Linked DNA regions of Ovis aries. The protein of the gene in region 2 purifies or fractionates together with the protein of the main gene of each other region. This does not show direct contact. Links are inferred from orthologs where the notes say so. Each region holds a gene or a part of one and is shown on either strand. Other genes may lie near its edges. The genes, in order: SETD1A and BOD1L1.

What was found.
Region 1: the proteins of BOD1L1 (region 2) and SETD1A purify together in Homo sapiens (affinity purification with mass spectrometry; 3 studies listed by BioGRID and IntAct, with this or other methods). This does not show direct contact. The link is inferred for Ovis aries from reciprocal best matches to the Homo sapiens genes BOD1L1 and SETD1A.

The regions. Positions count from the first base shown.
Region 1 is NC_056077.1:27,626,770-27,630,583, reverse strand, and holds part of SETD1A (histone-lysine N-methyltransferase SETD1A), read right to left. Parts: intron 1,221-3,814; coding exon 165-1,220; intron 1-164. UniProt on the Homo sapiens protein: Histone methyltransferase that catalyzes methyl group transfer from S-adenosyl-L-methionine to the epsilon-amino group of 'Lys-4' of histone H3 (H3K4) via a non-processive mechanism.
Region 2 is NC_056059.1:109,456,953-109,460,766, forward strand, and holds part of BOD1L1 (biorientation of chromosomes in cell division protein 1-like 1), read right to left. Parts: intron 2,862-3,814; coding exon 2,797-2,861; intron 1,744-2,796; coding exon 1,659-1,743; exon of another isoform or gene 1-1,658. UniProt on the Homo sapiens protein: Component of the fork protection machinery required to protect stalled/damaged replication forks from uncontrolled DNA2-dependent resection.

The DNA.
Region 1 (3,814 bases), on a different chromosome or scaffold from region 2:
CCCAAGCTGAACGTGGCAGAGAACAGGACAGGGACTGAGGTAAACACAGACCCAGGAATGATCGCAGGAGGGCAGTGCCTGGCCAGCGACCCCAGGGAGGGCCCCCACCTCCACCCCCAGGCCTGTCTCCCTGTCCTGAGGCCAGACTCTGGGGCTCAGGATATTGGTGTGCTGGACCCAGTGGGTGTCGTTCAGCCAGTCGGCCCCACTAGTCTGCTGCAGAAGCCGCTCATACGTCAGCCGCAGGTAGCTCATGTCCTCCAAGTCCAGGCCCGAGTTCCAAATGTCATAGAGGATGGTCATCTGCTCAAACTCGCTGCGGGGATCGAAGGTGGGGGGTGGCGGCGGGGGGGGGGGCGGGGGCGGCCGCCGGCGCCGCGTGTGCGAGCGGAGGCTGCGCCGCCGGGTGGCGCCCTCGCCATCGCTGCTGCTACTGCTGCTGCTCTCCGATGACTCCGACTCCTCTTCCTCTTCCTCCTCCTCCCCATCCTCCTGCTGCTGTGGCAGCTGCTTTGGCTCCTCCACCTCGGCCACCACCACCTCTGGGGCCTCGAGGACCTCGTCCGCCGGGGAGCTGAAGAGGGCCGCGGGGGCCGGAACGGGTTCCAAGGGACGAGGGGCAGGCGTGGAGGGTGGCTGCGGGGGCGGCGGCGGCGGCCTGACGGCCAGGGCATAGTTGTGCTCCAGGAGGATGTGGCTGAGCAGGGGGCCCGGGCGCTCCGCCTCGTCGAGCGTCTCCGCGGCCTCCGAGTCGTCGGCGGCGGGCAGGGCGGGCAGGCCACGCCGTGCTGGGGTCAGGGCCAGGTCAGCCAGCACAGCCAGGTCCACTTCCGTGGCGGGTTCGGCCTCCTCTTCCTCAGCGGAGCGGCCCCGGCCTCCGGCCCGGTTCCGGCCTCCTCGGGACACCTCCTCAGGCCAACTCTTGACCAGAGAGGCGTGGTCGAGGGGCAAGTTGCGAATGGTCCGCTCCACAGCCCGGGGGGCTTTGCGGTAGGCAGGGGCGGCAGACTTGACCTGTGGCAGCGCGGCGGGGGGAGGCTCTGGGGCCGGTGCCTCCTCCACAGCAGAGAAGGAGACGGTTTTCCGGCGTTTCTTGGGTGGGGGCAGGAGAGGGATGGGAGAGGAAGGGCGCTCGTCGGGGCGGGGGGTGGGGGCCGGGGGTCCAGCTGGTGGCTCTGGGGGAGGCTGGGGCGCACTGGGAGGCGGCTCCTCGGTGGAACCTGGAGAGAGAAGCACAAAGAAGGGCGAGGGTCAGCTTCTCCGCGATCAGATGGATATGATGATGGAAATTCGCTGGAGGCAGGCGACCAGCCAGCCTCCCCTGGGAGTCCACACCCCAGCCACCCTTGCTCCTCACCTTCCACCTGACACACTGGCCTCTCCCCCGTGCCGTGTCCTCGTTAGGAGGGGTTCCCCTGATGGGGTGGCATTTTGCATCTGCTCATTCATACCTTCTGCAAACACTTCCTGAGCACTAACTATGGGAAAGCCTTTGACTGTGTAGATCACAACAAACTGTGGAAAACTCTTAGAGATGGGAATACCAGACCACCTGACTTGCCTCCTGAGAAATCTGCATACAGGTCACGAAACAACAGTTAGAACTGGACATGAAACAACAGACTGGTTCCAAATCAGGAAAGGAGTACGTCAAGGCTGTATATTGTCACCCTGCTTATTTATCTTATATGCAGAGTACATCATGAGAAATCCTGAGCTAGAGGAAGCACAAGCTGGAATCAAGACAGCTGGGAGAAATATCAGTCACCTCAGATATGCAGATGACACCACCTTCATAGCAGAAAGTGAAGAACTGAAGAGCCTCTTGATGAAAGTAAAAGAGTGTGGAAAAGTTGGCTTAAAACATTCAGAAAACTAAGATCATGGCATCTGGTCCCATCACTTCATGGCAAATAGGTGGGGAAGCAATGGAAACAGTTACAGACTTTATTTTTTTGGGCTCCAAAATCACTGCAGATGGTGACTGCAGTGGTGACTGCATTAAAAGACGCTTGCTCCTTGGAAGAAAAGTCATGACCAACCTAGATAGCATATTGAAAAGCAGAGACATTACTTTGCCAACAAAAGTCCGTCTTGTCAAAGCTATGGTTTTTCCACTGGTCATGTATGGATGTGAAAGTTGGACTATAAAGAAAGCTGAGTGCTGAAGAATTGATGCTTTTGAACTGTGGTGGTGGAGAAGACTCTTGAGAGTCTCTTGGACTGCAAGGAGATGCAACCAGTCCATCCTAAAGAAAATCAGTCCTGAATATTCATTGGAAGGACTGATGCTGAAGCTGAAACTCCAATACTTTGGCCACATGATGTGAAAAACCAACTCATTGGAAAAGACCCTGATGCTGGGAAAGATTGAAGGTGGGAGGAGAAGGGGACAATAGAGGATGAGATAGTTGGATGGCATTACCAACTCAATGGACATGAGTTTGAGTAAACTCCAGGAGTTGGTGATGGATAGGGAGGCCTGGCGTGCTGCAGTCCATGGGGTCACAAAGAGTTGGACACGACTGAGCTACTGAACTGAAATGAACTATGGGAGGGCTTCCCTGGTGGCTCAGATGGTAAAGTATCTGCCTGCAATGTGGGACACCCGGGTTCAATCCCTGGGTCAGGAGGATCCCCTGGAGAAGGAAATGACAACCCACTCCAGTATTCTTGTCTGGAAAATCCCATGGACGGAGGAACCTGGTAAGACATGACTAGCGACTTCACTTTTAACCATGTCAAGTATGAGGAAAACACCTTTGAAGCCCTTCTGGAACTTCTAGTCCAAGGAAACAATCATGTGAAACACAGGGCAGCGCAGGCCCTGAGGGGCAGGGGTGGCGCTCTCAGGGGCAGGGGTGGCGCTCTGAGGGGCAGGGGTGGCGCTCTCAGGGGCAGGGGTGGCGCTCTCAGGGGCAGGGGTGGCGCTCTCAGGGGCAGGGGTGGCGCTCTAAGGGCAGGGGTGGCACTCTGAGGAAACTCAGCACTTGGACTCCAGTCTTTCTCTTTTCTTTAACCACGACTGGTAGTGACAGAACCTCATCCAACAATCAGACAGACATCAGACAACTTTTTTTGCCAGCTGCATTTTGTAACCAGGATGCAACTGCCCAGATCTCCCCAGAATTAAAGTATCCATTATTTTGACTACAAACAATATTCTTTGTTCTGTGAGGTTAAAATATATACAATGTAAGAAACTGAATCTTGTATTAAAAGGCTTTATAAAATTGTACTGGAGTCTTACCCAATGAGAAAGGGGTCAGGAAGTCCCCCCTCAAGAAGCTGAGGTGGTACTTTATTTGGGCTTTTCCTTCACGTCAATGAAATTACACTGTTTTGGCTTTAGAAACCTTTTCTAAATGTACATTTACAAATGTGTATGCCATTGCAAAGCCAGGAAGGGCACCTTCAGGACTGGTGGAAGTTCCCACTGGAGGACACTGGGACAAAGACTGGGGCAGGTGGGGGTGGTAGGGTTGTGCCAAATGGGGTGGGGCTTTTGCTTTTTTCTGTATTCTCTGATTTTTTTAACGTGAGAGTTCATGTATTATTTGTGCAGGTTTTTAAAATAAATAGGTATTAACCTTCTCCACCCTGCAACTTCTTTGTCTAAAATAAAATAGTAATACAATGTTACGTGTCAATTACATACATATAAAATAGAAAAACAAAGTTATATCAACAGGGAATTACAGCCATTCTCTTGTTAATAACTTTTAATAATCTATGAAAATACCAAATCACTATGCTGTACACCTGAGACTAATATAATATTGTAAGTCAAGTATACTTAAAAAATAAATACATT
Region 2 (3,814 bases):
CTCTTATTGAACTGTACCTAAACACAGTCTGAAATACAACTCTGGGAACAAAGAACTTCAGAATCCAAAAATGTTACCTTCTTGACAATTAACAAATGGGATATTAATTATGTATACTATAATACATACACAGGAATTTTAACTAATACCATCTATCCAAGTTTTGGGAAGATTAGTCATCGTTAGGGTTTTAACATGTCAGGACGAGTGGCTTACCAGGTCTTGGGGTGGTCTTCCAGGAACCCCTGGTATTTCTGCTTATAAGGTTCCTGTGGTCACGTACTTTGAAGGCTGCCCTTTCAGATGGTTTGCCTTGGAAGGTCCCCACCCTGACAGCCCCAGATAGCCCTGGTTGAGGATTTATACACACCACTCCTCACACACTGCCTTTCTTTGTCTGGTCCACCAAATACACACCTACTTGTTCTTCAATATTTGTCTCCAAATTAGGGGGAATAGCAAGTGCTTGAAATGAAAATTTAAATGTGTGTGTTCTTTGACCTCTCGGTTCACTTTTTCAAAAAAAATTGGAGAAGTACATGATTATAGACATATGGAAGCTCACTGCAGCGTTATTTGTAACAGTAAACACTACAAACACTGGAGGGCACTCAGAGACCCAACAGCACGGGGGCCGTGTGTTGCAGACCACTATTGAAACAAAGGAAGCCGGTCTGCATACGCTGACAATGAAGGACGCCCACAACATACAGCTGAGTTTAAAAAGAATTCTGAAAATGTAACTCAGGCACCTAAACTGAATCACAAGTCTCAGGGCTTCAGCCATGAATGACAGCACAACGTATCTTCCTAGAGGCCAAGAATGGGAAAGCGATTACTTCTGCTGGGGATTAAGAGAGAAGGTAAGAAATCGGGCCTTTGAAAGAGGTCTCTGCTCCTGGATCATGCTTTGCCTGAACTTTTCAGTGTTTTGAATGCTACAGACTGGATGTTTGTGTCCCCTTCACAATGAATATACTGCCACCCACCCCATCTATTAAAAATGCAATCCCCAACGTGATGGCGCTGTAGTGAGGGTCTCTGGCAGGTGGTCAGATTCAGATGAGGTCACGTGTAAAGTGGTCCTGAGACCGACGTGTTTGAGAGCTGCTGTCCTAACCCTGTCTGAGGCTGAGACCTTTCCCTTCACACCTTTAGTGGACACTGAAGACTGGTGCAGAGAGAGACTGAGAAGAGGCTCTGCAAGCGGGGAGGAGCTTCAGTGACGCAGCAACGGCCAGACCCCAGGGGTCAAGAGCCTGAGGTTAAAAGAAGTGGGCACACAGGCGCAGACTAGCCTTCTGGAAATGAGCTTGTGATGGCACCTGGAGGGACAAGGAGGGCCATAGAGACATACTTGTGGGCGAGAGCAAGGGTCTGTTCCAAAGCAGCTCGTTTGGCCACAATTATTTGGAGACATCAGATTTAAACACAACCTTACGTGATTTTGACTGATGTTAATGCTTTATGAAGAAAAAGTGTAAGTTAAAAATGAAATAGCAAAGAGTTTTCTCTAATCTATGTTAAAAAAATGATAGGTAAATCCATATAGCCTGTCAATGTTTTATTACATATTAGCTATAAATTTTAAGTGATAATAAAAGATAAACCCACACATAAGGAAAAAAAAAATGTGAACAACTGCTAAAGGAGTTTACCTGTTCCACTCAGCTTTCTCCCACCTGAACTTCCTGGTGGTGCTGGCATCTCATGATTTTTCTCTTCCTCTGATGGCACAAATACCTAAAAAGTCCAAGGCACCATAACAAGGTAAATGAGGTTTTTGAAATAAGAAGGTAAGTTTAATTCACCTGAAGGGAATTAAACAAAACACTCAGCATCCTGTCAACCTTTAGGAACAAAAAGGTAAAACTAATCTCGTATTTCATCCATCAGTGGCTCTCCTACTGCGCTAAAGTAAAATACTGAGTACAACACATAAGCCCTTCCTGATCTGGTCTCATTTCTTCAAGAGGCTTGAGGTCTCAGCGCAGCTCATCCCTGAAACACTGCAGTGCCCAGGACTCATGACTGGCTCTTCCCTTTCTGTGTCCTCGGGTACACTTCGAACTGTTTGCAGAAGTCCACTCCAAAGTCCTCCTGCAAGCCATCCCCTTCCACCCACTGACCCTGCTGTGAGTCGAGGCTCCTCCGCACTGCGTTCACAGCCCCCATATTTACCACTATCTTGTCCCGTGGACTCGGAGGCGCCAGGAGATCAGGCTGGAAGGGGGCATGGAGACTAAACTGTTTAAAGCACACAGGCTGTGACAGAAGAACCAGAAAACCTCCTCCCAAACTAGATTTTATTCTAAATGCAATGAGAAGTCATTGGAAATTTCAAGCAGAGCAATGACATGACCTAGTTTATGTTTTTCAAGCTAACTCTCAGGGCTGGGTGAAGACTGGAGGAAGGGCTGGAGAGGAAGCAGAATGGGGACACTACCTACTGGGGTAGAGGCTCAGACTAGGTGGCAGCCATAGAAACAGAAATAGGTGGATTCAAGTCACATTTTGGGAATGGAAACTATGAGAACCAGCAATAGATGAAACGAGGGGTGACTGACGCTGACACTTGGCTTTCTGGTTTGAGTGGATGGAACTGATGACGGTGCTATCAGCTGAGACTACTGAGGTTCTGAGCTCTTCCCTCACACGACGTGTCAGTAACAGAACTGAAATAGCTTCGGTACAGTGAGAGCCGGGGCTGCATTCTGCTTGTGTACATGTATCTGTACATGGTGAAAAGGTATGTACACCATTGGCAGTTCAGCATAACTGAATGATCAGCCATACCTCAGGTTTCAAGTTGGTTTTCAGTCCCAATCTTCCCACAGCATTTGATGGGGACTCTTTGCTGCCTAAAGAAATGCAAACCATTCAATCAGTTTAAGAATTTGCTTGCAAACTACATCTTGAATCAAAAGGTAACAGAATGTCGTCTAGTTGTTACCCGGACATGCTACGCCCTCCTCCGTCCTGTTTTAGTTTGCTGTCAGTAGAAAACAATAAAGGGGAATATATCCGAAAATTCTCAGATAAAAGGCAAGGGGTCATTCACTCATTTCGGGGGGATGGGATGTGTATAAAAATGTTTCTGGCTGTTATGCTGGCTGGCCACAAAGAATGATATGCTATCATTTGCGAGGACGTCTTATGTCCAAGTATTTTTCTATAGATATCTATATCAAGCTTGTCCCTAAAAGAAAACATTCAAGGCCACTGAGATACTTTCTTAATGAAGATGGTGATTTGTGAACAGATTCACTTTACTTGCTTGTGCTGACACAGCAAAGTTGAACACAAAGTTAGAAACTGTGAAACAGATAAAAAGGGAACAGAATTTTCCCTGGTAGACTCAAACCTATCCCTTTCCTTCTCTCCTCTGTCCTGAGACTTGTTCCTCTCACCTGCCCACACAGACGCCTCCCAAGAAAACCCTTCCTTTCTCCAGGAGGCTGTGGGCTTACTCCTTGCTAAAAGTCCTTCTATTTCTGCTCCTTCAAGGGAAGGAGAGGCAGGAGGCAGAAGGAATAACAGACTGTAGCAATGGCTGAGTCATAGAAACTTCCAGAGCATTCAACTCACCCTAAATTAAAGTCAACAGAAAAGTTTTAAGTCATTTATTTCAACCCTTGGAACATCTCTTAGTGTCTCCTAAGTCCCCATAAGAAACAGGACTAAATCTACTGGCCTCAGCCTCCAGAGTAGCACTTAGGTGATACTTCAGCTTAAAAGTGCAGCTTGCTCCCATTTACACAGAGTGGAGAGGAAGACAGCATCCCTGCTCGCTTCCTGTCCAGCCCACGTACCC